Linked DNA regions of Caenorhabditis elegans. The protein of the gene in region 1 interacts with the protein of each later gene in a biochemical or structural test. Each region holds a gene or a part of one and is shown on either strand. Other genes may lie near its edges.

The links.
Region 2: of the proteins of lin-10 (region 1) and cdk-5, one has a biochemical effect on the other in vitro, tested with the Caenorhabditis elegans proteins (one study listed by BioGRID).

Annotation. Positions count from the first base shown.
Region 1 is NC_003279.8:8,116,304-8,121,195, reverse strand, and holds the start of lin-10 (Protein lin-10), read left to right. Parts: upstream 1-1,881; 5' UTR 1,882-1,882; coding exon 1,883-2,033; intron 2,034-2,678; coding exon 2,679-2,917; intron 2,918-3,516; coding exon 3,517-3,606; intron 3,607-3,814; coding exon 3,815-3,866; intron 3,867-4,329; coding exon 4,330-4,553; intron 4,554-4,892. UniProt on the Caenorhabditis elegans protein: Required specifically for the determination of 3 vulval precursor cell fates P5.p, P6.p and P7.p during late second and early third larval stages; required for basolateral localization of receptor tyrosine kinase let-23.
Region 2 is NC_003281.10:13,464,152-13,468,166, reverse strand, and holds cdk-5 (Cyclin-dependent-like kinase 5), read left to right. Parts: upstream 1-1,824; 5' UTR 1,825-1,871; coding exon 1,872-1,908; intron 1,909-1,955; coding exon 1,956-2,044; intron 2,045-2,089; coding exon 2,090-2,543; intron 2,544-2,598; coding exon 2,599-2,729; intron 2,730-3,129; coding exon 3,130-3,210; intron 3,211-3,241; exon of another isoform or gene 3,242-3,262; coding exon 3,263-3,349; 3' UTR 3,350-3,480; downstream 3,481-4,015. Other genes in the region: kel-3 (BTB domain-containing protein), read right to left, coding at 164-333, 903-1,081, 1,132-1,206, 1,250-1,337, 1,391-1,588; ant-1.1 (ADP/ATP translocase), read right to left, coding at 3,828-4,015. UniProt on the Caenorhabditis elegans protein: Proline-directed serine/threonine-protein kinase which, in several motor neurons, promotes the polarized trafficking of synaptic vesicles and dense-core vesicles (DCV).

The DNA.
Region 1 (4,892 bases):
GAAAGTTAAACGTAGAGTAGTGCCAAACTTCTCAACATTTTTTAACTTTGAACTAACTTTGAACGGAATTTTCGGCTTGAACTCTAATCTCAAAATTGAAAAGTTTACTTTTTTGCCATCTATTCCGCAATAACAGTAAACGTGAAATTATTCACACTTTTTTCCATCTTTATATACTCTCTCGTTCATCTACCAGTTTTGTATTGTCCATTCGTCCATCACAAATTCCCATTCATCCCGTCATCTGGTGTATTCTTTCCGTTTTTGATACTTTTTTGTCTGTGCCCTGGAAAAGAGTTGGATGGAAAGAGAGAGTGAAGGAAAACGATGGAAAAGAGCAGAATTAGCATAATTATGACACTTTTTCTCTCGCCTCTTCCCTATTTTTCTCAACCCCGCGCTGCTCGAATGAGAAACGTCTCGAATAGGTTTTAAAGCTTCAACTTTTTACTGTTCTAATGTTTTCATTTATTTCCAAGAATTTAGTTGATCATTCACGATTCCCATGGCTTAGGTCAAAAATTAGAAATACTTTGCGGAATTCTATCACAATGCAGTTATATTTTCACATTTTTAGAACTTGTCCTAAAATACAAGAAGTTATCTTTATTTTCAACATCTGGAAAAAATTCGTTTTCAACATCTAAAGCGACAATTGGAAAATTGTCAATTGAAAGTCATTTAGTTAGCGGCTTACATTAATACAATTGTTTGGTTAAACATATTTTTCAAACGCCCTCAAAAGTCCAAAAAGCACTCGATATTTTGGAGATTAGCAAGCACGGCATAAAAGAAACAGCAAAAAAAGAAAACGACACGTGTCATATATTTGGCTGAGAAAGTAGGGATTAGAGTGTCGAAGAAACATGACAAATGAATTGGCATTCAGAAGACGTGCATACATGGCACGACATATTGCTTCGGGAACTCCTTACACTGCATTTTTTGGTTTCCTCAATGTATATTTTGTTTCACGATCAGTCTCCGCTTGTTGTTCTTTTTTCTTATGCTCCAGTGGGAAAAATGTTAAAAACTACACCTATAGTGCACCCATGATGAAAATATCATTCTAACACTTTCCAACATTTTTTGAAAATGTTATATTTACATTAATAGCAATTAATCAGTTTCCACCTATCATAATTGGTCCAATACATTGTTTAATTTTAAGTTCGCTTCAATTATTTACAAGTGAACCTAGAACCTAGGTCTTCGCATTTGCAGCATTGCTCTAAATTAATGAAAAACTCCAATTTTTTTAATTGGCAATTTACCAACATTTTCATTTGAAAGTATTTTATTTAGATATAATAATAATAATAATTTATTACGCTCGCTGGGAGACGTGAAGGAATACAGAATACAAAAGTTATCATTGTTCGCTTGTACTAGAATTGGTGCAGTCGGGCAATTGTTTCCATTCCATTAGAATGTTGTCCTTGTCCTTGCGTTGTCCTTGCGTAGACTCCCCCATAGTGGGCGAGCGATTCCCGAGTGAAAATATGTAGATTTTTAGATATGTAGATATGTAGATATGTAGATTTTTTACTACATAATTGTAAGTCTGTGTAGATTCGAACTCCATGTTGTGTTACAGTACTTCCGAACACGATCTTAAAACTTTTTGAGCATCTCCCATTTTCTCATTTTAGGAAAAAATTTAACTTATAACTTCGAGGTGACAATTGTTAATTCTAAATTTTCCCACGTTAACTCTCTCTCTGTCTGCTTCTCTCTTGTCCCTCTTCTTCATCGCTCTAATTAATTCGCGTGTGAGACGAGAGAAGAGCATCCAATAATCCATGTCCTTTTCCCGCTTCCTCTCTCTTTCCCTCATCTTCCTATCTATTTTCCATCGGACCATGAACAATTCTGTTGCAGGATGTCATCTGAAGCAGTAGCACAAGCCACAGCCGCCACGACGTCTCCTGAACACGGGGTCCCCACATCATCGGCCACGCCTACTCCTCCGCCGAGCAAAGGGGGTGGAGCCGGTGGTGGTGGGGGAGGAGAGCAACAACAAGTCCCATTTCGTTAGTTTTACAAGAGATTTTGAATTAAAGTGTAAACAAATATACCAGACTTCAAGTTTTTTGAGTGTCATTTTTCAAATTTAGATGGTGTGTTTAAATATTCCCGGATCTTCAAAAATCTGATGTTTAGATATTTGAAAAAGCAAGACAAAATCAAATCAGTTAAAAAAAATATGAAAAAAACACAATAACACAGAAAAAAGGCTCTGAAATCCAGATAGGTTCAGTCTGATTTGCCAGCCCTAGTAAGACTATATTAACTTTTCGTAAGGAATTGCTCCTTCGTTTTGGTCAACCTTTCCTCAAATATTTTCACTCGAAGAATAAGAAAAAATAGAGGGGATATTATTGTTTTTCGAACCTTCTCGATTAAAAATTCCCTGTCTTCTCCTCTTCTTCTTATTTTTCCCCGCCGCCGCCTGACCACAAAAATAGGCTATTATTCATATGGCTGGACGTCTTTCATGTTGCCTTCCCTACAAAAATCTATTTTACACGGAAGTATAAGAAAATATTTTAAATATATTGCACTAGGAAACTTCTGTGCACAGAATGAAAATGTATGACATTGGTTATTTATATTTGCTTACTTAACACAATTAAAATAGGAAAAGCTTGTTCTTCAATATATTCGATTTTTTACAGAAATGATCCCTCCTGGTCATTTTTTCGCAAATCCCTTCTTGAATCCGTATATTCCAACAGCGGGTGCTCCTGCTCAGGAGGGTGAAGCTCAACCTCAGATGGTATTCTCTCCAGCTCAATATCAGGAAGTCATGCATCATTATTTTCAACAAATGATGGCCGCGAGTGGAGCACAGTTTCCGATTCCGTTTCCCATGCAATTTCAGCCGGCTCTTCAACAGCCAAGACCTTCTTCTCAGGTTTGTTTTATAAAGCGTTATTTTACAAAAACAATTGAAACACTGTCAATTTTTCATTAGAAGCAGTTTTTAAAACTGGGGTTGATAAGCTTTAAAAAAATGAAGGAAATGACATTAGTCATCAGAAAATGTATGTTTCGCAATTTTGGAACATTGTTGTACAACTAGAAAAGTTGCGAAATTTATTTTTGCAGAAAGAACTATTTTTAGAGCTCTCGAAATTGTTTTATTCACAATAAAAACATGTGAACTGGAAAAACCATATAATTTTCTGATTTGGCGAATTTGCCACAATATAATAACCTAAGACATTACATGCTTATTGGATGTTTGATGATGCATGGCTGACACCCGCTCGAGGCGTGTGAGAGGCGCCTCCGTCACTCTCTGCCGGCTAGAAATTCTAATTTTGATGTAACCTAGTCAAGCTCACAAGAAGTTCACAAATTCTTATTACAAAGTTATGCTTCTGCATTGATGCAGAACAGTATTTGATATTTCTAGACATTGAAATAGATCTAGAAATATATTACCAAAAGCAATGCATTTATGGCTCCCAAAATTCTCATCTGCACTTCATAACCTTCAAGTATTCTCAGGCATCATCATCTCATCGCTCAGAAGACGATAACGGAAGGCAGACAGCTGGCAGTGTTGTGTCCTCTAATGTGTCACCAAATCATCGAGAGGTTCGTTTACGGCAGAGCCCAAACACTTGAACTCACAAGCAAAACGCTGGAAATTAGGCGAAGTGATGACTTGGGGAGCTTCTTCATGTTCTTCCTGTAGCTCTAAAATAAATAAATGTGGTTCGGGAATTTAAAAGATAAAATTTTAAAAAATGTTCATTAAAATATACTTCTAGTTTAGAAATCAAACTCAGTCTTTAATTTTTAGGTGAGACCAGCAGAAGATTCTACGGAAACAAGCGGCGTTGTTCAAAATAATGGTTAGTTGGTTTTTCACTTTTAGAAATTCAGGCCAAATGCCAGAAGATCAGTCATTATCTCAAACGTTTGGCGTACAGTTTTCACAGAACGTATTAAGTTTCCTTCTTCGTCTAGTGGAATGTAAAACTCCAACTTTAAAAATTTCGAATAAATTGCATTTTCCAAAAGTTCTTCAGAAAATCTTCAAAAAAGATCCAGCATGTATCTCATTTGTCACAAGTGAGCATGTAACACGAGAACATTTTGGTGAGAAGAAGAGACAAGAGAGATATCTCTGCGTCTCTTATCATCTCACACTCTCTCTTTTTGCTCAGCCGATTTACTAATTGTTCCATGTCCGAAAGGAGTTGTACGTCTCCCACCATCATGTCTGGACGGAACTTAGAGACCACACGAAAAGTTGAAGGGATTTCCCCTGAACATTTTTCTAATTGTCAATTTTCAAACCTAAATATGTTTCAGATGAGCTTCTTGTACCAACTTCCACGTCATCCGATGTGACAATTGGTGACGTCATCGAAAAATCAGATTCTCCTGAAAATTCGCAAGAATCAGCGGGAGGAGAGGAGAAAAGTGAAGAAAAGCGGAAATTATCCGGTGATCGAACGGATTCACTCATTCGAAAACAAATGAGTGAAATGGAAAAAGAGATAACACGACGATCACAGAATAAAAATATTAAAACGGTATGTCGTTCGGTTTCGGAATTTTGAGAATTAATTCTTGAAAAAAAAAAGTTTTTCACTGAAATCTATGATCAAAGTTCCTAAAGCCAAATGTGAAAAACTCAATTTATGGAGTCACATAGTATGCGCATAGAATGTGCAAGAAACCTCCAACTTTCCCAAAAATAACAACTGTTTTCGAATATTTGGAATATGCCAAAACTTTGACACAAATTTTTGAAAAAACCTGAACATTTTTGGCTGTTGTTTTATTTCGATAGACCTTTTTTCTTTTAGACCTTTCTACATGTTTTGGCAAAATTTCCACTGGCGCTACACCACTTTTAAACAATAAGCATT
Region 2 (4,015 bases), on another chromosome or scaffold:
TGTCGTTTTTTCTCAAGTTTAAGATTTTTTACGAAAAATGTAAAATTTTTTTCCAAAAAATCTGAAACTTTTTAGTTATCAATTCTATATCGTTGCAAACAAAAAAAAATATATTTGAAGCAAAATTGAGTTTTTATTCTCAAAATAATATCGAAAATCTAACTTCGCTGCCTGTTCGTGTCTGATCACATCACAATTTAACCATTCCATCGCAGCGACATACACTTGTTCTTCAGAATCCACGTATAAATGATCATTTCTTAACAATTCAATTGCATCTTCTAGTGATAGTCTCTTGAAGTCCTCATCTTTGGATACTGCCATGAAATGTTTCTGAAATTTAAAACTGATTATATAAATATGTAAATTTTTGACTTTTAAAAATTAATTTATATTTGAACACTACAGTAATCTTTAAAGGCGCACACGCTTTTGGATTTTCCAAAATCGTTCTTCGTTTTTTTTTTGTTTGAAAATAGTGAAAAATCGAAATATTTCATTTTTCCATTTTAGAAAATTAGAAAAATCAAAAATAAAAATTCTGATAATTACCGAAAAATTCGAACATTCATGTTTTCGATTTTTGATTTTTTTTGAATTTTTCTGTTTTTTTTTTCGATTTTTCGGAAAATCTAAAATTTTCGATTTCTCGATTCTTTGCAAATTGCAAAGAATTGAACTTTTTTGATTTTTGGTTTTCTCTGAAAACTACCGAAAAATTTGAAAATTTTGTATTTTTTCATTATAAAAAATCCGAAAAATCGAAATTATTTGTTTTTCGATTTATTAAAGATCTTGAAAATCAAAAATTCTCTTTAAAGGCGCACATGCGTTTATATCGTACAAAAATCGATCGTGTCGAGACCTGGAAATCTTCTTGACAAAACTGTGATCGTTTTTACCTGTATATAGTCATCAGTCATTTCTGTAATCTTCTCCTCGACGCACATCATTTTACAAAATTCTCGAATTGAAAGTGCATTTGACGGATGAAGACGAGTCAGGAGAAAGTTTCCACAATGTTGCACAACTTCCAGCATTTGGAAAAAGTTTGCTCCTAACATTATTGATTGAACGTTGCCTGGAAACGAAAATCTAAATAAAGATTTCTTCAAACAAAAAAATACTTACTTGTGGTTATTCTCAATTCTCCGGTATACGCAAATGACAGAAGAGCATCCACAGTTTCGTAGTTCATATCTGAATCTGGTTTATTTTTTTTTAGTAAAAATAACTTTCAGAGTTTTACCTTCAATATTTATCTCTTTCATGTTGGCTTCCATCAAATCCAATGTGAACATACCGCGAAAATATGGAATTGTGGCTGCGAGTATTACCTGAAAGCTTGATTTCGGTTAGAAAAAGTCGCATTAAATTGCTTTAAAATTACTTTGTGTGCTGATAGCTTTCGATTTTCAACCAACAAGGCCACATCGCAGAGCTGACATTTCGATCGCAGTTCGTTGAATATTGAGTAGCTTTTTTTATACATTTCATCGAGAATATCGACTTTTATAAAGTCCAAATCGTCATCTGTGTAGAGGGGGATTTTCGCAATTTTATCATGCTTCACGTCAGATGCGAACATTCTGAAATTGAACATATTTTTAAAAAATTCATAAACTTTATAACAGAACAAAACATCTTATATTTATAAGATCTTATTCTCCCACGAGAATGCCGAATTAAAACACGAGAAATGCGCAAACAAGAGAGCATAGAGATTTGAGAGACACAAACAAACATCGCAAAGTACGCCAGCAACCACTCCTTGACGCATATTGATTTTGTGAAGCTAAGAATTCGATTTTTCATTTAATTTTTACAAGGTTTACAAGAGAAGAAATTTAATCAGTTTTCCCACCTCAAAAATGCTTAACTATGATAAAATGGAAAAAATTGGAGAAGGTAAGCTATTCCCTGCCCATTTTTCCAGCCAAATTGTTGACTTTCAGGAACCTACGGAACCGTTTTCAAAGCCAGAAACAAAAATTCAGGAGAAATCGTTGCGTTGAAAAGAGTAAGGTTGGACGATGATGATGAGGTACTCAAAAAGCATTCAAAAAAATAAACTAAAATTCAAATTCAGGGTGTTCCAAGCTCTGCTCTCCGTGAAATTTGTATTCTCCGCGAGCTGAAACACCGAAATGTAGTAAGGCTCTACGACGTTGTTCACTCAGAAAACAAGTTGACACTGGTTTTTGAGTATTGCGATCAGGATTTGAAAAAATTTTTCGACTCGCTGAATGGGTATATGGATGCACAAACTGCACGATCCTTAATGCTTCAACTTCTCCGTGGTTTATCCTTTTGCCACGCTCACCATGTACTTCATCGAGATCTCAAGCCGCAAAACCTGCTGATTAATACAAATGGGACACTGAAACTAGCTGATTTTGGATTAGCCAGGGCGTTTGGCGTCCCAGTTCGATGTTTTAGTGCAGAAGTTGTCACGTTATGGTATAGACCGCCGGACGTGCTTTTTGGAGCGAAATTGTACAATACTTCAATTGATATGTGGTCTGCCGGGTGTATTTTTGCAGGTTTTTTTTAAAAATTAAATTTGCCAATAAATTTTCCTAATTTTTACTTTTTCAGAGATCTCAAATGCCGGTCGTCCATTATTCCCCGGTGCTGATGTTGACGATCAATTGAAACGAATTTTTAAGCAATTGGGCAGCCCATCCGAAGATAATTGGCCATCAATTACACAACTTCCAGATTATAAGGTATTACATGTCGTAGTTCTTTGAATTTTTTGTATTTTCACCTCTACATATTCTTATCAAATTCTCTTAGTTCTCTAATTCCGTCTTCTTATCTTTTCCATTTTACCTGCCACGATTTTGCCGCTGTCCTGTCCTCCCGACTACTATCCGCCCGTGTCAATTGGTGAAAAACTAAAAAAGAAAAAGATAGAAAGAAGAAATGATATTGAGTACTTTGAGCTCAGCTGTTTGTTCGGGTGACGTAATTCATACAATCACGGGCGGCTGGGACAGGACAGAGAACAGAGTATTGAGTAGATTTAGAGAAGCAGAGACAACTGTTCTAGATTTAAGATTGACAATAATTAATTGAATTCCATTGCATTATAGGAACACACAAGTATAACATACCATTTTTCAGCCCTACCCAATCTACCATCCAACGCTTACATGGAGCCAAATCGTACCTAATTTGAATTCACGTGGCCGTGATCTTTTACAGGTAACTTTTTTCCAATAAAAATTATACTTACTCAAACTCGAAGTATTTGCAGAAACTTCTTGTTTGCAATCCAGCAGGAAGAATCGATGCCGATGCAGCTCTACGCCATGCGTACTTCGCAGACACTTCTGACGTCTAACTATTCACTATTGCACTTTCCTACTCACATTGTTTTCTCGCTTTCCCTGGCATTCACTTCCCCCACTGACCCCAAATGAACCTCATTGCTTGCGAAACAAAATCTCATCGTTAATAAACGGCTACGGTTTGAAATCTTTCTGTGGCACATAATTGAACGAAGGGAAAATCAACAACGTTTTATTGTTGTTCGAGTAATTTTAAAGATCAACGGCAAACACAGGTGCAATAACCGAGATTGTCAAACCGAGTCCAGATAAAGGGGCTATCCTAACGAATGTTCAATCGGGGTGTTGAGGGAAAGAATGAGAATTTGAAAAGGGGAAAACTTTAATAGAGGATTTAAAACTTTTTATGTGGCTCGCTTTATTTTTGAAAACTTAACATAGTAGCTAGGTGAACTACTTTGCTAAAACAAGCTACATAACGAGATTTTGTTGGACAATGACAAGGTAAAAATTATCAAAGTGTTATCAAATTTAAAGGAACTTCTGGATTTCGTCGTAGATGGCCAAGACGAGGGCTCCTCCGGTTCCACGGAAGACGTTGGAGAGGGCTCCCTTGAACATAGCGGACATTCCTTCGTTTTGGATGATCTTCTTTGCGCAATCGAGGGTGTTTTTGTAGAGGATATCCTTGCGTCCAGACTGCATCATCATACGACGAC